7 linked regions of the Daphnia pulex genome follow. The protein of the gene in region 1 purifies or fractionates together with the protein of each later gene. This does not show direct contact. Links are inferred from orthologs where the notes say so. Each region holds a gene or a part of one and is shown in the gene's direction. Other genes may lie near its edges.

Region 1 (3,971 bases):
GGGGACAGTTCAACCAATTGAAGGGAGGGGAATCAGTCGACAAAGGCTGATGGACGAGGAACAAAAGAAAGCAAAATAATCTAAATTCAAACACAATTTCTCGGTAACGGATTGACAATTTTACTCTTTTTCCTTCCACAGATCCAGGTTTCATATGTTTCCCATAGCATAAGTTCTGGTCCATTCTCGAGCATTACGAATAGCTTCTACCTCGTTGACTTTCCACAACTCAGCAACATCATTGGCCAATGGATCATCGGGATTGGGCGCACTCAATAGAGCTTGAATCGACAACAGCACTGTCCGAATTTGCAAAGCTGGACTCCATTTATCTGAAAATATTAGAAAATATTAAACAAAGCCAAATCCACACACTTAAGTTTTTCAAGCAAATGCAACTTTCTGAAGTTAAAACTGATTTTTTCCCCAGTTACTTAAAAATTCAAAGCACAAATGTCATAACAATACAGGTATACCCTGATAACCAAAACACAAGATTATACATGCATAGAACACATAACACTTGACAATCTTGATAGAGCAAACACTAAAGTAATAAAAATAATCACCTTTCAGAATATCAAGACAAATTCGGCCAAGTTTATCAATATTAGGGTGATAAATCTTTGTCATGAATCGCACTTTAGGTGCAGACATTGGGTACTCTTCAGGCAAAAATAGTTCCAATTTGAAAACACCACCTTCAAATGGAGAACCTTCTGGACCTATGAATTTTAATCAATATGAACTAGTCAGTACCAGAATGACACTTTAAGGTTGCAATTTAAGTTTACAGACCTGCAACCACAACATGGAAATAACGAGCATTTTGTTCATCTGGAACTGCACTAATGCCTGGGACAGGCTCAGCCATCAAACGTTGAGTTTCCTATTGATCAAATTAATGACGAATATACTATATTGCTAGAGAATACTACCGGTCCCATAATAGGATCGGGAGAAAAAAACACGTTGCCTCCCACTTTGATGCAAGTCTACAATTAAGATTTGTGTTACCTTGATTATCCTTCTAGGTAAGCCTGCCATTTCGCATCAATTTGTTGAACAAACAACGAGTATAAAATAAGATTTTCGTATAATAGATGGTAACTTTAAAGCCAAATAGAGAAGACGGAAAGTTTTCACGCTATACGAGTGCCCTATTGCTAATTTAAGACGTTGTCAAATTGTTTGGTGACGAAAATCGGTAGGAGATCGACCCGGCCACACGGGAAGAATTAGACATATAAACATATTATTTTTCAAATTAAGACGATTTATTTAAAATGAACAAAGTTTATTTGAATTGGTTTACAAACGGAAATACACGAGAAAGCTAAACAAAAGGTATTGCTTTTCAAATGCCGGAAATGAGTTTAAACCTTTATTTCAGAACCGTAGAAAATGACCAGTAAAAATTTTTTGGTTAGATTAATTGGCTGTTCTGTTTGCGGAATATTTTAATTATTTTCATGAATCATCTAGAAAGAATTTCGACTTGAAAGTTGAAATAAATTGAAAAAGGGCAAATTAACTAATAAGGCATGATTAAGATTGAATGGCAGGCTTCAACACATAAAATTTTTTATTTTATCACTTTCTTCTCCTATCCTTCTTCATGTTAATTTTATTCCCTTTTTTTATGCAAAATTGCTAGAATTTAACTCGGCAAGTCGGCATCCGGTACTGATCTGACGTCTGACCTCCATGTTGTTTGTTTTTAAACTGTCGTCTGCTAGTATTGTTCGTTCATTGCTTTTGCGTGGTTTCATTCACTCAGCTTCATTCTGTTTTAAAATATAAACCATCAAGTGTCAAACACGGAAAGAATGGATCAAAAATTGGCTAACAAATTATTTGAAGAGGGCGCGTTTTTATTTCTTCTTGGCGTACCAATTGGGACTGAAGTAGGAATAGATTTCAACAGTTGGAGAACCGGCGAAAAATTCAAAGGCATAAAAATGATACCCCCTGGAATTCACTATATTTATTACAGGCAAATAAGTTATTTTTTGTTAGAACAGTTGTGTGAGTGTAACATTCACTGTGAGGTACAAAATGTGATTGTATATTTTTATATAATTTCTAGCTCTGTAAGCAAGGAAGGTTCCGTAGCGCCAAGAACAGGTTTCTTTTACAACTTCAATAAGAAGGAAGTTGTGGTCCGTAAGTGGAACCCAGAAATAGAAGATGTCATCAACGATTGTAATTTTATTTTATAAATCATTATTTAATATTAATTTATTATTTAGTGTTTATCCATAATAGGTACTGATGAAGAAAGAGAAAGTTTAAAAGCCAATTTAAAAAATCTTGATCAGCACTTGGGTCCATATCCATTTGATACCTGGAAGAAATGGATGTCTCTCAGCAGTAAATTGACAAGTATATTTTCTTATACATTATGTAATCTGTACAAAAATAAAATGTCTAACAATTAATATTTAGCTGATGTAGTTGGGAAAGTGGAACCCCTTCAGCAAAAGATTTCATCAGTTACAGAATTAATTTCATCAGAAGATGTACCAGCACCAGCAGAATCTCCAGTGAAAGAAAAAAGAATAAAGAGGTCAAATTATGAAGATGAATTACTACCGCACATGCAACCAAAGCCAGGCACAGCGTTAAATTTTACCAAAGTCCCTGTTGATTTCTATCCAGTAGGATCAAGTGCCATGGAAATCACTAAACATAGCATTGACACATCTTATTTACTGGAACAAATGCTGTCAACTTGGGAAAGGTCGGCATTTTTTTAATATTTATTTTTCGGAACGTAAAAAATACCAAATAGTTTGCTGTATTTAATAATAAATTATTTTCTTGTTTAGACCCAATCAAATGCTTGCTGAACTTCAAATGGCGTTTTTGTGTTTTTTGATAGGACAAGTTTACAGTGCTTTTGAACACTGGAAGAACGTGATTCGTATTTTTTGTTTTGCTGATGAGATTCTGTTGAAAAATCCATCATTAATTGTGGAGTTCATTGGGGATATCTATTTTCAGGTGATGACATTAGAAAACACAATTTTCAACTAAAATTATTAATTAAAATATATTGTTTTTTAGATGCAAGAAGTATCTCCAGATTTTTTTGTTGACATAATCTCATCAGAAAACTTCCTCATTCAAACTTTAAGAGTTTTGTTTGGAAATATTTTGGAAAATGATGCTGTTGACAGACAGCTTAAAAGAAGAGCCTCACAGTTGAAGCAATTTGTAACACAGAGGTTTCAATGGGATTTTGATGTTGAACCAAATGATGAAGCACCAGTACTAGTTGAGTTGGATGAAAGTATGTAATAATATTAAGAGAAAATTGATACTTCAACCACTTCAACCATGATATACTGTACACAAATTTCCTCAATTCCTCAATACATGTGTAATGTGTTTACAAGCTGAAAACCAGTAGTAATAATAACTAAATATATGAAAAACTACTAAAGAGATGGGCAGTAACTACCACATGGTAGATTGCTTGTTCAGTTGCTTTTCTTTCCAACAATTAGTGGGCCAACATTATCACCAGTCTCTGTATTATGCTTGTTGTGTGAACCATCACAGTAGGGAAACTAGGAAAGGATAAAAGTTATATAAGATAAATTAATTTGATCCATAATAAGTTCCTTACCGAAGCACTACGCCAGCATCGGCAGAATACTTTCTTGTCCCCTATGTCTTCTAAGTCAAAAGTGTCAACTACTTTTGAATCACCCTTTTTAATACTCTGATTAACCACACTGCCCTGTATAAAGAATTGTATAAGAAATTAAACTTCAGATTATTATCTTCTAAAGTCAAAATATATTGAGAATCCATACCTTTTTATCACACTTCTTTTTACAAAATCCAGTGCCTGTTACTTTGGCATAGATGAAAAGTGATATACCAACAGCAGCAACCCCAAGAGATGCTGAGCATACCAAATCTCGAACTGAAATTTAAATACAAAAGATAAGATAAATAAA
Region 2 (3,909 bases), on another chromosome or scaffold:
ATTTATTCTTTTTTTTTTTTCCTGCTCTTTATTTTCTTTTCTTTCTGACTTGCTATACGGCTGCTGCTGCTGCAGCGCTGGCGCACTGCGGCCGGGCTTCCGTTTGACCTTGTCGGCTGTTGTTTCTATCTCTCTCTCTCTCTCTCCTACCTCCCTCTTTCTTCCCCCTATCGCCTCCCACCTCCCGTAGCCCGCCCTCTCCACCCATTACCCCCCCTCCCTCCGCTTGAGTCGGCCCTGGACACACTACTCAAAGGCAACTCTAAAGGAAGGTGCGGGTCCACCTGAAGTCCTCAGTTGTCCGCCGAACTTCCATTCACGTAGACACAACAGGAGCTCTCCATTTCTCTCTCTCCTCTCTATCTCTCCTGTTTTTCTTTTCCCCACTTCTTTGCCACATCGCCGCCTCTGTGCTATTTTTATATTCGCTTGCACTCTCTCGTCAGGAAGTCTTTTTCCTGTCCCCTACAAGCGATAAATTGTTTTCGTGAATCGCCGTTGATTACTTACCCAATTCCAACATGTCACCAACATGCTCTAAATTGTGCAACTGCTGGCTTTGCCGCACTCGCAGTTAATCTATTTTAGAAAAAAACCTTGTGAATTGGTAAGCGACTATTTTTGGCATCTCCAACTTTTTCAATCAATTACACTAAGCATCGCGCCAGTGGTCCGCCGTTTCTGCGGATATAATTGAATTAGTGATTTAACCGGATGGTCTAGACAATTGATATTCTAACCAGTTTTGTTGTTTGTTTGTTTTGTTTTTCTTCTTCTCCCCATCACAGAATTGTTGATTCAGATGGTGAATTCTTGCTGGTTGAAGCTGCCGATAGTCTTCCGCGTTGGGCCAACCCAGAAACTTGCATCAACAGGGTAAGTTTATTCGCTTAACTCTTTTTTTTGGAATTCCTTGACAAAGTTATAATTTTATCACTCTGAAAATTACAGGTTTTTATCCATGGTGGTCAAGTTCATATAATCAGTATAGCTGATCGTCCCTCTAGTATCACTCCTTTACCGTCAGGCCAGCCTTCTCTGATGGACGCTGTTCACATTGTTCGTTCCATGCCGCACTTGACCATAGCACCCGCTCCCATTCAAGAGCCAATCCACCAGCGCATTGACAAGTAAATTTGAAATTTCTAATTTTGTTTTCGAGTTTAAGGCCATTTCGTAATGGGGACAACTCCCCTGGTTTTTTTTTTGTGTGTGTGTTTTTTCTTTCAACTAATTCAGGTGCGTATCTCAAATCGATTCCAGTCTTCACCGTTGCAATGTATTCGTGCCTGCTGGTGTTGCCGCTTTGCTGCAATCCTATCCGACTCTTGTAGCACCAGCTATTCATGCATTCTGTCAGCGCGATGCCTCTCAACTGCAGGTATTTAAAAAGTGTCTGGTTAAAATGTCAGCTCAAACCCGAGCTCCCGAAGGCAAGGTTTAATCAATTATTTTGTTCCCCCCGTTATGTAACGTAGGTTATCCGCGCCATGCGTTTCTTTCCCCCAGAAACTCGAGTATGGACGTCAGTGACATTCACAAAATGTCTTTATGCTATGCTTGTTCACCGTAACTACCAGCCAGATCACAGGACTGGCTGGTCTTTACCACCGATTGGCGATTCCAAACGAACGGGTTCAGACCTTGGCATGAAACTTGTACGCAATTTCTTTTATCTGATTTTGTCTTTTCTGTTTTGAATTTATTTATGTTTTCAAATCATTTCAGGCTATTGGATTTGAATTACTGGCTAACGAGGAATCCTTACACCAAAAAGACGACGATTATTCTTTGGACATGGATTCACGTTGGAATCGATTCCTAAACACACTGAAAGAAAAAGGATTTTTCCAGGTAAATTTCACTGAAAGTTATTTTGTCAAATTTACAAAGTAATTTGTGTTTTTATTTCTGTTTGTTCTTTTAGGATTTCCTCGATGGTTCTAAACCACATAATGAGCTTATGGAAAAAGCTCGAGAATTTTACATCAATAGTGTGGGAGTAGAAGGACCGGCAAAGAAACCTGTCATTTTAAGACTGATGCAATCTGTTTGTGCCGATGTCGACAAATTCAAGAAAGTAGAATCCCATTTACCTGCGGATGACGGTAAGGTTTCACTTGTAAGACGTTGGTAGAACTGCAACTCATGTTTCGTTGTTATTCAATACAGATGACTCCTGGCTATCTGTTGATCCTGCCACCCTTGATCAAATTCTCGGCGACAAATTTAGTTTGTTGGGAGTCGATGATGATGACGAGGCCAAGGCCGATATCTTGCCTAAACTTGAAACCTTCCTCAATCGGACGTCAGATTATGAAGGTCTTACGCCGGCCAACGGCAGGAAGAAATCCAGAAAGCTTTCTCACCTAGCTCCGCCTTCAAGGAAGACGTCAACGCTCTCAAACGCCTCTGACGCTTCCCAACTTTCTACCAACATTGGTTTCGATCCAGATAGTTTTGCATCCGCAATGCAAGGGATTCTTGGTACGTCAATTTCTTGTAAATTTGTTGGACTTTGAAAATAATAAAAAAAAAATCTTTTGTAGATTTCGCTCTGCCAGAAGACAATTGGGATTTGGAATCAAATTCTTCTTGTTTGAGCAGCTACAGTGAAGAGGAAGAAGGCGACGAGTTGGTAGACAAGGAGATGAACAAATACATGCAAACAATGGATCAAGAATTGTTAACCACGGATGTTCATCGTACTTCCGTAGACAACCCTACTCGCAAGGTAAATTTTTGTGTGTGTGGAATTAACAAACAATTGGTAATAAGCCATCGAATTCGTTTCCAGGAATCCGTCATGAGCGAAGGTTGTGAGAGTTTCAGCGATGTGGAAAACTTTCAACCCGTAAAAATTGATTCTGCTGCTCTTGAATCCCTTCTTGCTTCCTACACAATGCAGCGTGGTGGTCCTGGTCCTGCATCTATTTTGTTGAATCAATTGAATCTTTCTCGGAGCCAGGTATCAGCCAGTAAAAAACAAACCGACTGAAGATTGTGACCTTACGTTTGTTTTTCTCCTCTTTTTCTCTTCACTCTTTCCCTATGTAATTATTATCGATGTCTTTTCATCCGCCCTATTTCCTCTTACCCATGCGATTGGGTGATTTGAGGTTTAATTTATTATTATGATTCGTCTTTTGATAAAAACTTCCGGTTTTTTTTTTCTTTAAAAAATTCGGTCCCTCACCTTTTCGAATCTGACACATTTCTCAAAAGCCAGTCGCTGCTATCCCTCTGTGATACACAACGCTCGGTGGAGGTGGTTTGTATAACGGGACTTTTTTTTTTTTTTTCCATTTCCAGCTCCATTCCTAATACATTTCGGATTTATGTATTCGCCTTCTTTGCGTTCTTCCATGTCTTTTGGCGTTATAGCTGCCATTTGAAAGATACACGAGGATTCACACTGAGCACGTCTTGTAAATTAAGTCGATACAAACGGAACGACTCGTGGGGTCAAATTACTCGTACCCACGCAAGTCACGGTTTGCCTCCAGCCCGTATCCTTGTTCCAGATTTTAAAAATACCTTTTTTTTTTGCTAAGTTGTTGTATGCGCACAAATGTGGAGTCAAAAGGGCAAGGTACAAGCTATTTTAATTCGCGTCTGGCCATTATTTTTATTCTTTTGGCTTTTTGAAGTAGTTCTAATGAATTTGAGTATCGTTAAATTGTTTGCCAACATACCAAAATGTCCAATCATCGAGTTCTCAACGGATTTGATGATAATACAGTTGAGTAAGTTTGAAGGATGCCATTACGCAGTTTCCGCATCAATGGTGCATAACGAAGTCCTTACTTCAGCGGCGACTCCGCGGGGAACATTGAAAAGCCAAATTGGCGGGGTAAGTGAAATACGTAGAATTTTATACATGTTGAACCTCTATGGTGATCAATATTA
Region 3 (3,464 bases), on another chromosome or scaffold:
ACAGGACGTGGAATCTCCATTTGAAGTCCAGGAGTATGTTCGCTTGTATCTTGGCGAGGGCAAAGACGCCAAAGAGTTCGCCAAGCAATTCCTTGATCAACGTTCTCGTTGGCGCCAGATGCAAAGAAACGTCCAGCAATACGAAGAGGACAACATGTGCATCCCGGCCAAAGCCATAAATCCGGGACAATCATCTGACTTCCATGAAGTTAAAGTAATTATTTAAAAATAAAAGATAAAACGTTGTCTCTACCATTTCACTAATGAAAATGTTCCGTTTTAGTCTAAATCCAAGAAGTCTAAGAAGAAGATGCAGAAAGTGGATGCCAGTTTGTTGGGATTCAGCGTTTCTGCTTCGACGGATCGCATCAACGTCGGTGAGCGCGATTTCGTGGACGGCATGTGAATCATTGTTAAAGAAAGCCAAAAAAAAAAGATAAAATCAACGACCACACACGACAAGAGACGAGTTCAAACTTATAAAGCAACCAATATGATTATTGTTTATTGGGGTTTAGGGATGGACAATTAAGATGTCGACACACAACAAGTTTTACGCAACAAACACACCAACAGCAACAATTTCAAAACGTCTTGAGTGTGGAAAGTTGGTGGGCAGCAATAAAAGTTAACAAAAATATAAACGTGATCAAGTTCTTTTCGTTATCCCTCACCAGCAGAAAAGAATCAGGGCTGGACATTTTGTTCTGTTACAATTTTTCGGCACTGAATCAAAAAATATCAATTTGATCTTGGTCACGAATCAAATACAAACATCTTAAAAAAAAATTGTTTTTCAATTCTCGTAGCATTTCCTTTAACGTTTAGTTCATTAGTATAAGCACCGCATGAGTGCCAACTTGTTTAATGTTTTCGTGGGATTGTTTGTTTTTTTTCCGTACAAAACACAAAAATTTTAAGAGTTTCCACGGGAAATTTGGTAACTTTAATTTTGTTGGATAGTTTCCAAAAGGGTATTCTTTTTCTCGAGATTTCCGGATGTTTCGTTCAATATTCTCATTGATTTTGACCACAATTCAAAAGAAAAACGTGATGAAATAGTTTTATTGATTTCTCATGGGTAAATAGCTAAAAGCAGTTTCCGAAAATAGAAATATAATTTAGAAAAATACAAGGATAAAATATAATTTAGCAGCAGCTTTTTTTCACAAAGAAATAAAATTATAAATAATCTTTTTTTAAATATGGCACTAATAACCCCGAATTGGCAACGTTGTAAATCGATCACCTCGTGTAGGATTGTTCCAGAGAAAAGAAAAGTTGAGTTGACGCTTTGCCCGTTTTTCTTATATTAAGGTCCTCTTGATTATTCAGGTCCAACCATCCACTTTAACAACTTCTCACTCTCGTTTTAATTTCGTCAAGTCGTTCCTCACAGTAAAATGGCTACAGAACAGTGAGTTTAATTTTCTTACACAAAAATTGGTAATCGGTTGTGAAGGCGTGATGAGCATTAACGAAGGGTTGATAAGGCTTTCAAGCCGGTGTTTGTTTCTAGATTCTGCCATAGTTTTTCCTATTGAGATTTGCTTCTTGAATGGAAGACATTTGAACATGGATTGTGAATTTGGCTTGTCAGGATCAAAAGTTGAAAACCATGCTTTAACAAATCAATTCCATGTGCTCATTGCCCGTGCTTACTCGTCCAAAATTAATCTTTCTCATTCCATCTTTCAGGTTATTACCTCCTCCTGCCATGTGGGCACAGAGAAAAAACCTGGTGTCTTTGACTATTAATGTCGAAGACTGCAAGGAACCAGTCATCACCCTTGAGCCAACAAAAGTTTACTTTAAAGGAACAGGAGGTCCCGATAAGAAAACTTTTGAAGTCACGATTGATTTATTTGGTGAAATTGACACAGCTGTAAGTTTAATAGTGTGCTCATGTTTGCATCGTCGCAGACTCACCCAATTTTATTCATTGCAGGAATCAAAGTACTTTGTCAGAGAGCGCAGCATAGAATTCTTCCTTCGAAAGAAAGAAGAGGGACCTTACTGGCCATCCATTTTCAAGGACAAGAAGAAGGTGCACTGGCTCAAAATCGACTTTAATAGGTGGCGCGACGAGGACGATAGCGAGCCAGAGGAAAATGGTGGTGAAGAATCCCAAGACCTCGACGAGGTACGTGAGAGATTCTGATACCTTTGTCGAAATTAATACAATTAAAAAGGGTAGCGTTTTAAGAGTGTCAATAAAACTTGTGGTTTTTCTTAGATGATGCGTCGCATGGGCGGTTTGAACGGCGCAGGTGGCGGTCAGATGGACTTGAACGATCTTGGTGGTAGCGAAGAGGACGAGGATGACGAAGACTTACCCGATTTGGAATAGTAGAAATTTAACGGACGCGTACGCTCCTCTTCTATTCATCCATTCGGTTCTTCTCCTACTTTGATTTTTTGTTTATTGCCCCGTAATTCATTTTGTTTTTTTTCCATTTATCCTTCGCCCTCAACTTGCAAATTTTCGTCGATATTTGGAAGTGAAAATAAAGACGTGGCATTTGCCATCATCCATTTCCAAATCAACAATAAGCAAAAACAAAAGCAAAACGGCGAAGAGTAATCAAGTATTTGTACACCAGTCTTGCATCTCGTCATGTTTTCTTGTGAGCCGTTTCGAATACAAAAACAAAAGATGAAAAGATTTGAGAAAAAAAAAGAGAGAAATTTACTTTTTTTTACCTCAAGATTTTTTTTTTATATCTTTCCCAATCATCGCTTCTTTGCACAGGTGAAAAAGTTAACGGTGCGTGTCAAAATCAGGTGTGAGCGAACTTCCAGCGCGAAGGTGTTGGAAGGAATCCGGCGCGCTTCTCTGCTTCTGTGGTGCGTGACATAAAGGGGCCTGGTGGATGTGTGAAGACAACCAAACAAAAGACGAAGTAAAAATAAAATTCTTTATTTAACATTTTATTTTTTTTTTTTTCAAAAAATGGATGGACAGGTGGAGGAAGAAACGAATCACGTTATCAAAAGAGCAAAAAGTCGCTCGAGGCAGCTGAATCATTTTTGTACAGGGACGTACGTTTAGGTCGACCGCAACAGCTGCAGCTACTAGCCAAAAAGAGTGATGATCACTCGACTTTGACTTTTGACACGCCTATTCGACGCCGCTACTCCATTTACTAGAATTACAAGAAAAGATTTAAGGAAAAGAATTGTGACGTTATCATCTGCCATTTCTGCTGGCAGTCATTTCCATCCGAGCGTGAACCTTTGGCGTCTCGTAACTAGTAAGGTTCAACAGCCGTCTGGCCGCCACACGATGCGCTACAACACCTTCTCAAATGAGGTAACTTAAGCTGCCGACAATTTATTTTGGAAATGTTTTTATGTAGTTGGGCAAAGCTAGTTAAGTTTCACTGATTTTAACGATCGAAATTCTTGATGATATCTAAAAATAACCACACAAGAGTTTTTTTCTATTTGTATGGTTGTGGGAA
Region 4 (3,469 bases), on another chromosome or scaffold:
GGGTCAGCCGCCTGATGTAAAGAGGACCTTAATTTTACAATGTCCTTAACGTTGTCTTCATTTTCAGGCTCTTATAGACCTTTTTATGGATAGTTAGACAGCGGAAAATAACTCTAAATCCCAACTAAAACTTTAAATAACCACGCATTTACGTTCTTATATAATTAATTACATCAACAAAACGCACAAATTACAAAACCGAAAAAACTTACATTTCCTTAAGGGAGAAGAAGATAATTCTGATCTTCCTGATGGGTTGGCACACCAACACCTCCTGCTCATGAAACTATAGACATCCCATCTACAGGAGTGGTATTCCAATCCATATGCAAGAAACATTGCAGCAAGAGAGACATACACAACTCTGAGCTTCATGCAATGTTTGACGACTCGAGGATTCCACAATAGTGCAATCGTGAAAATTCTTCATCTTAGAAGATGAAAAGGTTTCCAGGAAGCCAGGATGCTTACGGCAGGCGGAGATTCACCGAGTATCTTGCAGTCAAGGCAAGAGAGTCTGATCACAGTGAAGTACACGTCTTTGGTTTAGGATCAAGCGGAAGAGTTCTTCTAGAAATTCAAAAAGAGTAGGAGGTGATTAGGTTCAAGCAACGTTATCCTTCCAGTGCCCCCTTAAACATAGCAATAGGAAAAAAGCAAAATGAAAAGAACAAATATTACGAAAAATTCCGCAAAATTCTGTCGAAAAATGTATAAATAAGGTGATAATATAATATTATACTTATATTGGTTACTCAATTTGTGCTATCAAAAGATTCATTTCAGGCTTCAGGAAGGAATGATTTTTTAACACTTAGAAAGAAGCAAAAGCTGAAATCTGTGCTTGACTAACAAAAACATTGAGGAAACTCTATAATGCTATTTTCTAATAAATAAAACGAAAAGACAGTAAGTTTAATGAAGACTCTTATTCCAATCCCACTCCAACAAACTCAGCATGTTTAGGTAAATATTCTAAATTGAAATGCACAACAATGGTCGCCATTTGCATGACACCGTGAGATGGAGTAAGCTCTAACTGTTGCCAGTTTTTGTCAGTTTATTCCTTCATTTAATGACTCATTAATTTGAGAATAATTCTATTTAAATATTTAAGAATAAAAATATTTTTATACCTATCACTCTGGTCAAGTTGAAGAATTACTCAAATACGATTCCGAATTTCCCATATATCGGCAATCTGTCAAGGTTGTATGTCACTGTACTGCTTCTGTTTTGTTTTTGTCTAAAAGAACGGGACGCCTTTTTAAGTTACAGAACAATTAAACAAATCGTAAAAAAATATGGAAGAAATTGGTGATAATTCGGGAGAAGCTTCTCTAACATTTAAATTCAAGAAACCAAGTAGAAAACCTATGAGAAAACGTCTCGAAATTGAAGAGGACGATGATGCTGGTGGCAGTGATGAGCTCGACGTGTTGTATGCACATTCTTATAAATAATATAATTTAAAATGTATTGTCATATTTAATTTCCTAATTTTCTAGGTTAAAGCTGGAAGAGACAAAAGAGTTACAAAAGTTAAGAGAGAGACCCCACGGTATTAGTGCTGTGGCATTGGCAATTGGCAAGCGAATAACTGTTGAAGAGGAAGTTACAGTGGTAAGGCAGTGTATATAGAAATTTATACAAGATCATGCATTAACTAGTTTACTTGTTTAAGTAAAGAATGATCCCTTCAAAGTTACAACTGGTGGAATGGCTGATATGAAGGCAGTTAAAGCTGGAAAGCAAAATAGTTCATCTGCTGATGATGCATATGAAACTGGAATTGGTACACAGTTTTCCGTGGAAACCAACACTCGAGATGAAGATGCAGAAATGTGTGTAAATATTATTCATTTACAACTCTTGCAATTCAGTTATAAAATGTTTATTCTTTTTAGGATGAAGTATATTGAGGAGCAACTTGCAAAAAGGAAAGGTCTAATGCAAGAGGATGAAGATAAAAGTAATAAATACCTGACTCCTGAAGAAATTGCTTTTTCGTCAGTACCTGAATATCTGAGAGTGAAATCTAGTGTCCAATCTGAAGAAATGTTATCCAACCAGATGCTTAGCGGAATTCCGGAAGTAGATCTAGGAATAGAGTATGCCAGTCTAAAACATTTTTATATTAAAAATTTTTACAATGACTTTCATAATTATTTTATTAAAGGGCCAAAATTAAGAATATTGAAGCAACTGAAGAAGCAAAACAGAAGCTGCTTCAAGAAAGACTTCGTAAAAAAGATGGTCCTTCAATGTTTGTTCCGACTAACATGGCCGTTAATTTTGTCCAGCATAACAGATGTACCTTTCTATTATTGATCTATACTTAATTAAAAATTTCTAATCATATTTTTACATATTTTTAGTTAATATTGAAGAATCTGGCCCCCCACGTAAGAAACGTGCTGAAGCTTCTGTCAAACCAGCCGTCCCTGTAGAGTTACCTAAAAGGTTAGACAATGTCGGTGGGAAAAAAGAGCATGATAAGGCAAGCGACGACTTTTATTTCGAAAAGTTCCGGCGACAGTTCCGAAGATGATGAAAGTCTTAATTTTTCAAAAAAATACATACATTTTTCAAATAAACGATTTTTCAGTGCCATTTATTTCCTATTAAACATTTGCTTCGCCTTTTGAAGTAAAGATCGCATCTTTTGAAAAGCGCCCGTACTATTTGGAAGATTTTCGTATAGTTCAAGTTCACCCATGGTCCCAAGTTTCCCATTTTGCGCAAACTTGTCTCGTGAAGGTAGGATATTATAAGGTGAATATCGTATAGAGACAGGAGTTCCCATTGCCAAGAGCTTGCTCTTTTTCGGTGACAAGTCTTGATTGTTGATTGGTGACTCAATATTTAGAGGTAGATCTGATATTGACGAGGTAGGAATCGTCACTGCAGCAATATCCATTTCCTGAACCTCGTTGGTTAGGTTGGGAGATCCACTCTCTTTCAATGTGTCCCCAGTAACGATGCCAGTTGTTGTGTTGGTTGGGTTAGTGGTTTCACTCCCTTCAAAATTTTCTTCAATAACACAGTCATCGTCTTCATCTCCCAACTCAGCAAGCAATGCCTGGCGCTTTTCTTCAAGGTCTTCTATGGATGTATCCATGTCAACGATTTCCTAAAATAAGGAATTTTAACTTATTTGACAACATTTCAACGATTTTATCTAGCAACAAACCAAATTCGTTTCTTCACTAGAATTCTTTTGAGTTTTACTGTGCATCTTTAAATTGGCGATGAGAGCTTCTTTGGAATTGTGCTCTTGCATTGGAGGAAAGTTTAAATAGCGCCAATCCTGCGGTTGATTAGCGTTAAAAAAATTTACACTGTATTATAAAAGCAAAATGGGTTCCACTTACGTCACGGACTCGTCGATCAACAGGAACGTTGAAGCCAGGGTAATCGATGATTTTTTCATAGTCATAAGTAACTGTTTGGTTTGCTTCAGTTGAAG
Region 5 (3,909 bases), about 11 Mb from region 1:
AAAATTTGTTGAAAGGGAAGAGAGAATAATCAACTTAGGCGATGATAATTTACGTGACAAAAAAAGAAATCCCCCTTCAAAAATGATTTAGGAATCCTATTTTAATTTTAAGAAACTTTGAGGAAATATTTTAGCTTTAATTCAAGAGAGAGAAGAAAAATAATTTACTGTTTAGAGGGATCTATTTGCTTACTAGACCCCTGAGAACAAGTTAAACTCAGAGAGAGAGAAAAAGATTCTAATAAATGACTGACCTGCCATAATTAAACACAATTTTCTTTGATAAATGGCGGCAATGATTAAGCAAAAGGAGATAACGAGAGAAAGATTTGAGTGTGATAGAGCGAAACTAACTTAACACTGGTTGGAGAAAACTCCAGTTCGAAGGACCATGTTGGAAATGGAACTCTTGTTGGCGGTGTCGACCGTTCAACTTCCAAGATTGAGATAAGAGATGACACCTTTGTTGTTGCTAGTTCGTCCTTATATTTCACACTGCCGTATAATACAGCATTTTGGTATTTCAATAGTTGGTTTAGGGTTGAGTAGGGTAGGGAACAATAGATTGAATGGGAAGAGAGGGTAAAATTGGGGCCCTCTGTTGAGGTCCCTACAAATTACACAGAATTAACAATAGCAATAATGTCGATCACTGTTGGGATGCAATAAATTCCCAACACGCACGACAATTTCACGTCCGCCAATTTTCATCAAGATAATAACTGATGTATTTTTCTTATCAATTTTTAAAAATTCTACGTTAAATATTTTTCCAACAAAATGAAAATAAGCTGCAGTATTTTTTTCGAATTAATCCAGTCTGGCATCGTGACGTTGTTTAAACGCTTTTGTCGTCTGCTACACATTGATGATGCGGTGGTCTTGACAAAAAGTGCGAAGTTTCTTATGTGATAGCTCATTTCGGATATTATTAAAGGAAAACAAAAGGTAATTAGACGTGAAAAAATTACTAGCAAAACTATAAATGTTCTTGCAACGTGTTTTTACTATTGGGGTGACATTAAAATACCTCATGTTTGATTTAATCGCCAAAAGCTTCTAGAACATAGTCTTCAACTTTGTGAACCATTGGGGCCTATTTTGTTTAGAAAATAACTTGATTGAAGTTTTTAAATTCTTGTCACTAAATTCGTTTTACATGCTGTAGTATATTCAAACTAGATAGGGAAAATTAATTGATTGACACTTAAGGATCTGTAGTTTAACAGTTTATTATCATCTTTTTCGTTTCACCTGTTTAAAACAGCTGTTGATTATTTACAGAATAATCAGAAATGGTCAACGAGGATCGAAGAGACGTTCGCGACGACCGAGATCGCCGCAATAAAGATAGAGAAGGTGATCGAGAGCGAGAAAACAAAGATCGCGAGCGAGAACGTGACAACAAAGATCGTGAAAGGGATCGAGATAACAACAAAGATCGTGACCGTGGCAATAATCGAGACAACAAAGATCTTGCCAGAGATCGTGATCGTGAGAGAAGAGAACGCGAAAGGAAAAGATCACGCAGTCGCTCTCGTAGCCGTGATCGAACAGCAAGACGACGTAGATCCAGATCCAGGTAATGAAATTAACCTTAATTATATTTGTCCATTGATTCATTTGTTTTTGTTAATTAGGTCACCAAGGGACCGTCGAGATCGTAAAGATGTGAAAACCGAACAAGATGCAAAAGACCAGGAAGCAAGTGAAGAAAACACTGAACAGCAAGCGATTAAAAAGGAGCCCCTGTCGCTGGAAGAATTGCTGGCCAAAAAGAAAGCCGAAGAAGAGGAAAAGAGCAAACCCAAGTTTCTCACGAAAGAAGAACGTGCAGCCGAAGCTATGCGAAAGCGACAGGAGGAAGTTGAAAATCTACGCAAACAGCAAGAAGAGGAAAGATCAAAACGGAATGCCTTTTTTCAGGTTTGTATTCATATCCTACATTATTTGTTATTTTAGATTTAACACGACATCTTTTAAAATTGATTTTAGGCGGCTAAAGAGACCAACAGGGAACCAGAACGCGATCGTCGACGTGATCGAGAAAGGGAGCGCGAAAAGGAGACCAAAGATCGTAAAGATGGTGAAACAGACCGCGATAAGCAAAAGGAGATGGATGCCATCAAGGATCGTTACCTGGGCATGGCCAAGAAAAAGCGACGTGTCCGCAGGCTGAACGAACGTAAATTCGTTTTCGAATGGGATGCGGCAGAAGACACTGCCGTCGACTACAACCCAATCTACAAGGAAAGACATCAGGTAAGAAGACCCTTGATATAAATTTTAAAAGGTGAAATTCTAACGTTTTCTTTATTTTGTTGATTAGGTCCAATTTTACGGTCGTGGTCATGTGGCCGGAATTGACATCAAAGCCCAGAAGAAAGACCAGTCGAAATTCTATGGTGACATGTTGGACAAACGCCGGACAGACACTGAAAAGGCCCAGGAGAAGGTCCGTTTGAAGAAGGAACAAAGACGAGAAGACAAGCAGAAATGGGACGACCGTCACTGGCAAGAGAAAAAGGTCGAAGAAATGACTGAGCGTGATTGGCGTATCTTCCGAGAAGATTACAACATCACCATTAAAGGTATGTTACCTAAACTTGTTGATTAATTAATATGTTTAACTTAATGTCTTTTGGTTTTTTTAAGGTGGCAAAATTCCTAATCCGTACCGTTCGTGGGCTGATTCTGATCTCAACAAGGAAACTTTGGAGATTATCGAAAAAGTTGGATACATTGATCCTACTCCCATCCAGCGTCAAGCCATTCCCATTGGTACGTTGCCAATAATTACTTATCTGTTTGAAAAAGTAAACTTATTTCACGTGAATTTTTTTCAGGATTAAAGAACCGAGATATTATCGGTGTGGCTGAAACAGGATCAGGAAAAACCGCCGCATTCTTAATCCCCTTACTCGTATGGATTCAGTCGCTTCCCAAGAACGTCCGCCTGGGTGACGATGATTCGGGACCCTACGCCATCATTTTGGCTCCTACTCGTGAGTTGGCTCAGCAGATCGAAGAAGAATGCATCAAATTCGGTCAGCATTTGGGCATCCGAACGGTTGCCGTCATCGGTGGTCTATCCAGGGAGGAGCAAGGCTTCAGACTGCGAATGGGTTGCGAGGTAATTTCTCTTATCCTATCCCAGTTTATTCATTTCATTGACTTTTTTACTTTTAACAGATCGTGATTGCCACTCCCGGTCGTCTGATTGACGTTTTGGAGAACAGATACTTGGTGCTGTCACAGTGCACGTACATTGTGCTGGACGAAGCTGATCGCATGATTGACATGGGTTTCGAACCCGACGTGCAAAAGATTCTGGAACACATGCCAGTCACAAATCAGAAGCCGGACAACGACGACGCTGAAGACGAGCAAAAGCTGATGGCCAATTTCAATTCCAAGAATAAATTCCGACAGGTATTGGTTTGGTTAATTCTAAACGTCAGACTGGTTTATTTACCTCATTTTTTATTTCCTTTTTGCAGACTGTTATGTTTACGGCAACCATGCCTTCGGCGGTGGAGCGATTGGCTCGAACTTACCTGAGACGTCCGGCTGTGGTCTACATCGGCTCGGCCGGCAAACCTGTGGAACGGACGGAGCAAATCGTCTACATGGTTGAAGAGAACGCCAAGCGCAACAAGTTGATGGAAATTCTGCGCCGCGGAAAACTCGAACCTCCCATCATCATTTTCGTCAACCAAAAGAAGGGAGCAGATGTACTGGCCAAGGGCCTGGAGAAATTTGGCGTAAGGCATTTTAATTTAAAAATTTTGTCTAGTTGAATTCATTTAAGGTGTTTATTTATTCTTTCGACAGTTCAATGCTTGTACTCTGCACGGTGGTAAGGGTCAGGAGCAGCGTGAATTTGCCCTTTCCAACTTGAAGTCAGGA
Region 6 (3,759 bases), on another chromosome or scaffold:
CCCTGTTCATTTATGGCACAGTAAATATTAGTAAATGAGAAGGGAAAAACGATTATACTTCTCGATCTAGCCTTTGGATAGACTGGAAAATTTCTCCGCATGCTTTGTCATAGTGGGTGTAACGAAATCGTTGACCCCAGTGGCAAAAATCCGATGAAACGACGAAACAGTTGTTGGGGTCCGCGAGATACTTGGAAAGGAGTCTTCCGTAGTGGGTTTCACGTTCCGGAGACAGCGATCCAACCAAAATTGGGACAATGGTAAAATCTCTGTGACTAAAAAAACAGCAAGATATTTGAAAATGAACAACATTGCAATAATTTGCATGTGAAGAATTCTGATTGCAATAAATTCACATACTTTTCAAAAACTTTGGCAATATAAGGCAGATGCATTTCAATGCTATGCTCATCTTCATCTGTTTCCAGATTCATCCACTCAAAGCAGCCAGTACCCTGTAGTTCTTTATACACTAAAAATAATACAGACTAAATATTTTCCCTTACAAAATTGTGAAATATAAATTTACCCTGTGTATCAATGGTGAGATCATAAAATGGAGTGCGGTATTTGGCTACAGATGAGAGGGCACATCCAGACAGCCTTACATGATGGGAAGGCCCTAGAATAAAGACACGTTTCCTGTTCCAACAACATACACACTGATGGGAAAATAAAAGGTAAAAAAATTTTTGAGGCTTATTTTTACACATTTGTAGGATCAATCTGTTTGTATGCAAAACCTGCACAAGATCCGCAATAACGATAGCCAGCATGCCTGTGGTAAAATAATAAACAGCTTTTGTTAATTTTCGCACAGGAGAGACTTTCACAAATTTATATTTTATTGATAGAAGTAAAAAAAAAATAATCATTTAAAAAACTTACGGTGCAATGATAGCCCTTGCTGGTCCATGTGAGAAATTGGCTGCATCTAGCCACCCATCGAGTTGACGACCAAGTTCCTTAGCTAGGAAAGGGTAAATATGATAAACAACTAAAATATGATGTTTTTCCATTTAAACAAAGGAACAAAGATGTGTCAATATTACCCGAATCAGAATACCAGCTGCCAGCGTGGGATGCTTTTCGTACGGACATGTTAAAAATAACCCTTTTTTACGTAATCTTTAATCTAAAGGATATCACCAGTTCTATTCTCGATTAAAATTATTTAAGAATAGTCCTATTTCCTAACCCACCTAGCAGTGTACCACCACTGTACACAATGCAACCAGCCGTCCTTCTCACACAAGTGATTGAGGATTGGACCATTGGGGGGTGAAAGCAGACCGACCGAAAGCAATCAACGATGCGAAAAATTAACTATTACAGAAATCGAAAATTCCAGGAAAAGTTACATGATTTTTATTTTTAAATTATTTTTTAAAAATCCTGATAGATTTTTTAAAGCTTTTTATAGGCATTAAATCAATTTGAATGAAATTTTAAATCAGTGGCAGCTATCGGCCTATCGCCTGAAAGAATCGAGTTATAACGATGTCAACAAAGAATTGACAGAAGGGCACATGCTGATTTGCTTAGTTATACGTACGTAAGACCATCGTTTAATGCTTGTTGATGAAAACAATATTGGTTTCTTGTGTAATAACGGTGAGTAAAACTTTTAAGAGTGTGAAGCTAGTTTTCGCTGTATATAAAATACTTGTTTTCACCGATTTCAGCTCTTTTTCCAAAATGGATTCAGATGACGACTACATTGTCCAACAGTTCAGCGATGAAGGAGGCATCGATTCGAGCGATGACGATGAAATGGTTATGAAAGAATTTTACAAGCAATCAGAGTCTGGGGGAAAAAAGTCGTTGAAAGATTTTCAGGCTGAAATGAACAAGGAATTGGAGCTTCGTGTGGCAACTTATCTTGAGAAAGAAAAAATTCAAGATCCAACAAAATTTGGGAGTGATGTTAAAACAGAAAGCAAGTCAAGAGATCACTACTTTGACACTGATTCTGAAGAAGATGTCGAAACAGAAGATTCAACAGCTCAAGCACAATCTAATATGGAATTATTTTATGATCCTCAAATGGATCTCAAAGATGAATCCTATGTACAAAAGCAGCGAGACATGTACAGAAAGAAATTCAAGAATCAGGCCAAGCCCAAACTTTTACCTAACAGTGATGCGGTGTTGAACTGCCCTGCATGTTTTACAACTTTATGCCATGACTGTCAGAGGTAATTATACGACCTGCTTTTTAATTAATTACATCATAAGACTTTGCTGAATCTCTTGTATTGACTGAATGTTAACCTTGTAGGCATGAAACTATCAAAACACAGTACAGGGCTATGTTTACTTTTCATTGTCAAGTAGACATGAGTGAGGTGATGAAAATTCCTCTGCAGTCACAGAAAAACCGTTCCAAGAAGACGGCGTCAGATGAACCTACTTTCAGTGGGTCTGAAGATGTTTATCATCCGGTACGGTGTTCCACGTGCAACACACATGTGGCTATGTTTGATAGTGATGAAGTGTATCATTTTTTCAATGTCGTTACGAGTCATTGAATAAAGTCCCGTCTGTTATTATTTTTGTCAGTGTGTTGTTAAACTTGTGTGTGCACTTAAAGTTATTGTAATAAGAAAATCAAGAGTCTTCGAGGACAAAAATTTTGTGTAATCGCCACACATCAAAAGGGGGAGGAGAGGAAGTCACAATTTCTTTTCATGTGAAAAGAAAATAAAATAACGGAAGGGTCAGTGGGCAACGGTTCACACACCCAAAAGTAATATTCCGCACTGTGCGAACAAAACATGGGATTTTTTTAACCAAAAAACTAATTAATGATGTGAAACGCTGTAAAACGGGTGGGAATCAAATGATTAAGAGGAATATTTATTCAAAATAATTCCTGTGTGTCTGTGTTATCCAATCGACTCGGCTACCATCAAACCCCTATCCCAGATCCCTATCGAATTCGAAATTGGAAAAGATTTGCACAAAATAGCCTCAAAAAAGGGGAAAACGCAAAAGCATCAACAGTATGGGGGGAACGAAAAATTATACCCACAAAGAAAAACGCGAAAGAAGACGAGACCCAAAAATCAATGCACAAAGATTGAAAAAACGGGAAAGGGAGGAAGTCCACGTCTATTAATTTTTTTTAAGTGGACAAAATTGGTTGTGTTTTATCGAGGAAAGAGGTTGGGCGGATATAACACACCACAAAGAATTTGAAAATAATTTGGTTGTTTCTAGGGCTCGAAGATGAATGTGTCTCAGTCATCGAACGGATGGATTTTTCTAATTTATGGGATAAAAGTTCGGAGGGGAGGAGGAATACAATGAAGAAAAACATTCAAAAATAGAATGAAGAAAACTGGCCGACTCCAAACATAAAAAATTCTTCCTGCTTTTTTTTTCACACTCGGCAGATTCATCTAGAATACTAATTCTATCAAAGAATGATGGGCTTCTTTTTCTGCCATTCTCTCACACCACTACCCAGCTCAGCCGTTGCTCGATTTTGTGTACAGATGGTTCAAAAACAACGAAAATTTAAGGGATGAAAAAGAGCAAAACTAGACACAAACGATGAAGGTTGAACCAAACAAGTTTTTTTTTATATGAACGAAAGGGTAAAAACGAGAGGAAGGGTTCTGGTTGATGGTGAATGTATCGAATTTCTTCTACAGCTGACGAAAAAATCACTTATTTTTTTAAGACAAATAATTCCCCATGTTATGTTTTTTTTTCTTTTCTTAATCTGCCGATTCGTATTCTGTTTTAAATTAA
Region 7 (4,490 bases), on another chromosome or scaffold:
TTATTCCGTCTATAGGAAACGGAGTTGTGGGAAGACAAGAAACAAATCTTGCAGAATGAGATCCGTCAGTTGCAAAAACACAAAGAAGAGCTGGAACAGCTTTTGGATTCTCATAGACCTCAGTGCAAGATGATGAGAAAGACGGGCCATTATCCGTCGAACAACAAAGCACCTCTACTTCCCGCTATGCCTAACCTAATGCCGATACCAAATGTCCAGCAACCCCAACAACAGCAGCAACAACAACAACACTCCCACGTTCAGCAGCAACCAATCAAAGAGGAACGTCACGAAAGCGATGAATCTTCATCAGACGGCGTCGGCTTAATCGAGTTCACCCGACCTACCATAGCACCACGCCCTCGTCCTACAACGCTACCCGTCGCTTCCCCCTTTACAAATGCTCCACCGCGTAATTCTAGTTGGCATGAAATCGCCGGTATCGCAATCACTACACCTTCATCCGGAATCCCTGGATTCAACTTTGACTCGCTCATGGAGGGTGGGACAGGGCTCACTCCCGTTGTGCCTAGCCCATCGTGTGGCACTCAGCAACAACGTAGTAACGCAGGAAGTAATGGAACAACTCTGCCCGTTGATTTGTCCAGTCCTGAGGCTGTAAACCGAAAACTGGTTTCACTTTGATGCGTTTCTTAGTAGATAATTATAATCTGAAGTTACTTTTTTAGGGGAAAAACTGGGTAAAACTTATATGAGGTTGCAAATAGATTTGTATACCTTTTGCCCCCTATATTTATTTTTTAAACAACTGAAAGAAAACAATTGTAGTATGTTACATACTAAAAAAATTCTTCAAGCTCATTCAATCACTATCGATTGACCTATGCAAATCAATGTCTTTAAAAGCCTTAATAATTGCGGGAATCGCTTTTAAAAAATTTCTTCCTACTATTTCTAAGTTTAGTTTTTAATCCAACAGAAACTAACATTGGGTTGTTTGAATTCACACGTGGTTTACCCCTTTGCTCTCCCACAGGACCCTTTTGCATTCCCGTTGCTCCACTAGTCTCGAGCGATTCGATAACGAGCGCCGTTTCTTCTCCTTTTTTTTTGTTAGCTCCCGTCCCTTGGTTTTTTTTCCTACGCAGAATTTATGTAGATTGGCTACAACGAAGTCTATTGCCAATCCATGCCTTTATTTGTTTTCAAATTGTATTTTGTCATAAAATCGAATGCCACCCTTGTATAATCCGCTTACATTGATGCAATAAACAACATTTGATAGCTTCAATTTTGAACGATTCTTTATAATTGCTTATTAAACTCAAATTGAGTTTAATTGAGTTGCTCTATATGAATATATTCGGAAAACCTAGGTTAATGAGTCATCATGAAGCAAGATGATCCAGTCATCCGCATTCCGCTGTTTAAGAAAAAATTATCGTCGTCTGCTAGTAGACATTTCCCACGTGTTGTTTCAATCTCGAGCGCGCTTTCATCTGCGACATTTAGGATTACATTTTTCGAAGCCCACAGAAAATGCCAGAAGTGTGTCGAAAGCAAGTAACTCTTGAAGTAGAGCTATCCCTATTGGATCCTCAACTTAGATCAACAGATCTGACACATTTATGTGATGGTGAGTTTAATTAATGTGACAGTGTAGTACTCAGTTAAAAAATGACATGATTTGACAGCTATAAAATTTTTTAGATCTCAAAGACCTGATTGAACACATCCAAAAAGGAAACTTTGAAGATGTTCTAAAGCACTGTCCAATTAGGATTTTTGGAGCAGGTATTCAACAATCATCAATCAAAGAAGCAGTTGAACGATTTTGCCATGATAATTCAAGTGATGAAACCAGGTAGAATTGATATTATATAAATTGAACAGCAGTAATTCTTATATTATCAATTATTTCAGTTTATTTCAGTTGCTTTGCATTGGGATATCTGCCTTACAGCGCTTTATTCAAAGTAACTGGCTTGGATGCAACAAATGGGAAATGTCATCTGATGATGACATGATAGACAGTGCATCCAAAGAATGCTTAATTATTGATGCAGAATGCTTATTTCCCACCATTAAAGACCTACAATTGCTCTTGGCTGCAAAAACCATCTTATTTGACTTCAAGGAACAGTTCATGCACTTCAAGGTAATTTAAAGTTGTTTAACAAATTGAATAGCAAATTGATTCTCATTGTATTTTATGAAAAGCTTTCAGGTTGGTGGCTTATGAGGTATTTATATGTCCACCAACGAGTCTTAGAGGAGTCATCCCAATTGCTGCATTCTGCATTCCTTGAAAACATTATTGGCAAGATTGATCAGCTTGAAGAATCACTTGGAGGTAACTTGCTTTTCAGCTCTCTGCTGCAGTTGGAGCTCGGTTACACCTACTTGCTGTATGGTGAAGTGCAAAAAACCAAACTTCATTTTGAAAAAGCCAATGAGATTGTTGGTTTTAGATGTGAATGGACAGGTAGGTTACAAAATTTAAAACATAAAAAACACCCCAAATATGTTGAAAATGTTTGTTTACTAAAGGGGCAATGGGGAAAAGGACACAGTATCAACAAACTCCGCTACCCCAATTAACGATCAAAGTTCATTTCAACATGGATGAGGCGCTGCTGACAGATACTACCGAACGAGCAAGTGATCTGCCAAGAGACGTACGATTAGAGGATGACACCCGTTTGAATCACATCGCCTTTATCAACAAAGATGACAATATTCTCCCTGATCTTCCTCCTCTGTACCAATCTCTTTTGATTGCTCATGCGTAAGGAAAATTCTAACTTTTGTTCAGTGGCGTAAATTAAATTTATGGATTCTGTTTTAGAACTCAAATTGAAAAATTCCATCCTAAAGATGACCTTCTTGGAGAAGAACTATCACCTTTACTAAACGTGAGACAAATATTTCCATTTTTTTTACAGTAACATTGAGTTGAAGAATATGTTTTACAGTGTATCTTAGGCTATCCAAAAATCTGGTCTTTTCATGTCAGCTCTTTGGTGATGCGCTCCAAGTTGGAGTCTACGCAGCGCCGCGCTGTTGAACGAGCTCTTTCTCAGTTGCAAGAGCTAGCAGATTCTCTAGCAAAAGTCAGCCCTGATGCACATCGTCGAATTGAATATTTTTATGTTTCGCGAATTCCGCTCGAGTGTGAACTTCAAAGCGAATTGGCCGAAGTTCTTAAAAGTCTTGGAGCAATCAGCAGTGCGTTAGACATTTATATTCGTCTCCAGCTGTGGGATGGTGTTATTGCTTGTTACCAACAACTCGACAGAAAACATAAGGTAAACTCGTGTTGTATCAATAAATCCTCAGTAGCTTGTAAAATTTAACATTTAGGCAGAGGAAATTGTCCGCCAAGAATTGGCAAAAGGTGAAACACCCAAGCTGTGGTGTCTACTTGGAAATTGCACTGATGATGTGACATATTACGAAAAAGCATGGGAATTGTCCAAGCACTCGAGCGCTAGAGCTCAACGAGATTGGGCAATGCACTTTTACAACAAAAAACAGGTCCGATTTTTTTATTATTTACTTTTACGAAGCTTTTTGACTTACATTAAATTTGTCTTTGAATAGCTTCGCGAAGCTATCCCCCACTTTCAAGAGTCCTTGAGAGTCAATGGATTACAGGAAAATATCTGGATTCGATTGGCCTTTTGTGCTATGGATATGGAAGACTGGGAAATTGCCGCCTCTGCATACCGTCGATATTGCGGTCTGAACTCTGAGGTATGTGCTCTAAACGTTCACAAAAAATTAATTAATAAATCGTCAACGTTCACATCTTCTTAGTCGTTTGAGGCTTGGAATAATGTAGCCAAATGTTATGCCAAACTGGGCCAGAAAACTCGGGCTTGGAGAGCTTTGCAAGAAGCTGTCAAGTGTAACTATGAAAATTGGAAGATTTGGGACAATCTAATGATCGTATCCATCGATTGCTGCGAATATGAAGAAGTAAGTTCCTTTAATCGTGTTGCATCTGAACAACATTTTATCGAGTGATCATATTTATAGGCCATACGTTCGTACAACCGTATCCTTGAACTGAAAGAAAAACATGTCGACGTTCAAGTGCTGAAAATATTGGTTCAAGCAATCGTGGAGAACAAAGAAGATAATTACGGCCAAGAAGTCAATCGACTCGGTGCAGTTGTTCAAAAACTTTTTGGCCGCTTAACTTCACAGGTGACCAATGACGCACAAGTTTGGGAAGTGTATGCCGATCTTTTGGCTGGCAACGGAGGTACGGAAACAACGACGGCCTTTCGAGTGGCTCAACTCATGCAAAAATCCTATCGAAGTGCCATCCAGGAAAAGAACTGGGAAAAGGATATTGAATCTTGTACGTTTACTCTTAGGTTGTGTAGAAAGTACGTAGAAAGTTGTCTAGACTTGATGAATAAGGATTCATCCAAAGAAAATTTTCAACTTGCTAGTTCTGCAAAACTAAGTTTAAGGTCTGCTATAAGCCAGGTTAACCTTTGCTATGAGTTGGACATTCC

What was found.
Region 2: the proteins of protein AAR2 homolog (region 1) and protein ecdysoneless-like purify together in Homo sapiens (affinity purification with mass spectrometry; 3 studies listed by BioGRID and IntAct, counting the BioPlex papers as one, with this or other methods). This does not show direct contact. The link is inferred for Daphnia pulex from reciprocal best matches to the Homo sapiens genes AAR2 and ECD.
Region 3: the proteins of protein AAR2 homolog (region 1) and co-chaperone protein daf-41-like purify together in Homo sapiens (affinity purification with mass spectrometry; 3 studies listed by BioGRID and IntAct, with this or other methods). This does not show direct contact. The link is inferred for Daphnia pulex from reciprocal best matches to the Homo sapiens genes AAR2 and PTGES3.
Region 4: the proteins of protein AAR2 homolog (region 1) and telomere length and silencing protein 1 homolog purify together in Homo sapiens (affinity purification with mass spectrometry; 3 studies listed by BioGRID and IntAct, with this or other methods). This does not show direct contact. The link is inferred for Daphnia pulex from reciprocal best matches to the Homo sapiens genes AAR2 and C9orf78.
Region 5: the proteins of protein AAR2 homolog (region 1) and probable ATP-dependent RNA helicase DDX23 purify together in Homo sapiens (affinity purification with mass spectrometry; 3 studies listed by BioGRID and IntAct, counting the BioPlex papers as one, with this or other methods). This does not show direct contact. The link is inferred for Daphnia pulex from reciprocal best matches to the Homo sapiens genes AAR2 and DDX23.
Region 6: the proteins of protein AAR2 homolog (region 1) and E2F-associated phosphoprotein-like purify together in Homo sapiens (affinity purification with mass spectrometry; 4 studies listed by BioGRID and IntAct, counting the BioPlex papers as one, with this or other methods). This does not show direct contact. The link is inferred for Daphnia pulex from reciprocal best matches to the Homo sapiens genes AAR2 and EAPP.
Region 7: the proteins of protein AAR2 homolog (region 1) and tetratricopeptide repeat protein 27-like purify together in Homo sapiens (affinity purification with mass spectrometry; 3 studies listed by BioGRID and IntAct, with this or other methods). This does not show direct contact. The link is inferred for Daphnia pulex from reciprocal best matches to the Homo sapiens genes AAR2 and TTC27.

What each region holds. Positions count from the first base shown.
Region 1 is NC_060019.1:11,511,689-11,515,659, reverse strand, and holds protein AAR2 homolog, read left to right. Parts: upstream 1-1,707; 5' UTR 1,708-1,829; coding exon 1,830-1,996; intron 1,997-2,089; coding exon 2,090-2,205; intron 2,206-2,268; coding exon 2,269-2,385; intron 2,386-2,448; coding exon 2,449-2,743; intron 2,744-2,831; coding exon 2,832-3,006; intron 3,007-3,069; coding exon 3,070-3,303; 3' UTR 3,304-3,408; downstream 3,409-3,971. Other genes in the region: ubiquitin-conjugating enzyme E2 N, read right to left, coding at 151-332, 570-725, 799-889, 1,018-1,047; CDGSH iron-sulfur domain-containing protein 1-like, read right to left, coding at 3,486-3,575, 3,635-3,748, 3,825-3,937. UniProt on the Homo sapiens protein: Component of the U5 snRNP complex that is required for spliceosome assembly and for pre-mRNA splicing.
Region 2 is NC_060018.1:5,231,027-5,234,935, forward strand, and holds the end of protein ecdysoneless-like, read left to right. Parts: intron 1-788; coding exon 789-876; intron 877-951; coding exon 952-1,130; intron 1,131-1,239; coding exon 1,240-1,381; intron 1,382-1,478; coding exon 1,479-1,658; intron 1,659-1,728; coding exon 1,729-1,854; intron 1,855-1,927; coding exon 1,928-2,108; intron 2,109-2,172; coding exon 2,173-2,487; intron 2,488-2,549; coding exon 2,550-2,734; intron 2,735-2,797; coding exon 2,798-2,998; 3' UTR 2,999-3,419; downstream 3,420-3,909. UniProt on the Homo sapiens protein: Regulator of p53/TP53 stability and function. Inhibits MDM2-mediated degradation of p53/TP53 possibly by cooperating in part with TXNIP. May be involved transcriptional regulation. In vitro has intrinsic transactivation activity enhanced by EP300.
Region 3 is NC_060018.1:13,104,495-13,107,958, forward strand, and holds co-chaperone protein daf-41-like, read left to right. Parts: upstream 1-1,238; 5' UTR 1,239-1,403; coding exon 1,404-1,417; intron 1,418-1,698; coding exon 1,699-1,885; intron 1,886-1,948; coding exon 1,949-2,143; intron 2,144-2,236; coding exon 2,237-2,350; 3' UTR 2,351-2,665; downstream 2,666-3,464. Other genes in the region: GRB10-interacting GYF protein 2-like, read left to right, coding at 5-214, 284-406. UniProt on the Homo sapiens protein: Cytosolic prostaglandin synthase that catalyzes the oxidoreduction of prostaglandin endoperoxide H2 (PGH2) to prostaglandin E2 (PGE2).
Region 4 is NC_060023.1:10,024,002-10,027,470, reverse strand, and holds telomere length and silencing protein 1 homolog, read left to right. Parts: upstream 1-1,208; 5' UTR 1,209-1,304; coding exon 1,305-1,441; intron 1,442-1,508; coding exon 1,509-1,623; intron 1,624-1,689; coding exon 1,690-1,844; intron 1,845-1,907; coding exon 1,908-2,111; intron 2,112-2,179; coding exon 2,180-2,313; intron 2,314-2,378; coding exon 2,379-2,551; 3' UTR 2,552-2,592; downstream 2,593-3,469. Other genes in the region: zinc finger CCHC domain-containing protein 8 homolog, read right to left, coding at 2,615-3,133, 3,194-3,310, 3,375-3,469. UniProt on the Homo sapiens protein: Plays a role in pre-mRNA splicing by promoting usage of the upstream 3'-splice site at alternative NAGNAG splice sites; these are sites featuring alternative acceptor motifs separated by only a few nucleotides. May also modulate exon inclusion events.
Region 5 is NC_060019.1:355,910-359,818, forward strand, and holds part of probable ATP-dependent RNA helicase DDX23, read left to right. Parts: intron 1-841; exon of another isoform or gene 842-948; intron 949-1,267; exon of another isoform or gene 1,268-1,284; 5' UTR 1,285-1,295; coding exon 1,296-1,582; intron 1,583-1,640; coding exon 1,641-1,926; intron 1,927-1,995; coding exon 1,996-2,262; intron 2,263-2,329; coding exon 2,330-2,591; intron 2,592-2,655; coding exon 2,656-2,781; intron 2,782-2,846; coding exon 2,847-3,133; intron 3,134-3,192; coding exon 3,193-3,432; intron 3,433-3,500; coding exon 3,501-3,764; intron 3,765-3,834; coding exon 3,835-3,909. UniProt on the Homo sapiens protein: Involved in pre-mRNA splicing and its phosphorylated form (by SRPK2) is required for spliceosomal B complex formation.
Region 6 is NC_060018.1:7,627,770-7,631,528, reverse strand, and holds E2F-associated phosphoprotein-like, read left to right. Parts: upstream 1-1,469; 5' UTR 1,470-1,614; intron 1,615-1,685; 5' UTR 1,686-1,698; coding exon 1,699-2,198; intron 2,199-2,281; coding exon 2,282-2,531; 3' UTR 2,532-2,968; downstream 2,969-3,759. Other genes in the region: protein MEMO1-like, read right to left, coding at 1-2, 59-275, 361-472, 530-642, 710-778, 889-970, 1,053-1,101. UniProt on the Homo sapiens protein: May play an important role in the fine-tuning of both major E2F1 activities, the regulation of the cell-cycle and the induction of apoptosis. Promotes S-phase entry, and inhibits p14(ARP) expression.
Region 7 is NC_060020.1:293,058-297,547, reverse strand, and holds the start of tetratricopeptide repeat protein 27-like, read left to right. Parts: upstream 1-1,395; 5' UTR 1,396-1,500; coding exon 1,501-1,597; intron 1,598-1,671; coding exon 1,672-1,825; intron 1,826-1,884; coding exon 1,885-2,119; intron 2,120-2,181; coding exon 2,182-2,446; intron 2,447-2,511; coding exon 2,512-2,749; intron 2,750-2,809; coding exon 2,810-2,876; intron 2,877-2,936; coding exon 2,937-3,269; intron 3,270-3,324; coding exon 3,325-3,498; intron 3,499-3,564; coding exon 3,565-3,717; intron 3,718-3,780; coding exon 3,781-3,942; intron 3,943-4,002; coding exon 4,003-4,490. Other genes in the region: transcription factor kayak-like, read left to right, coding at 16-645.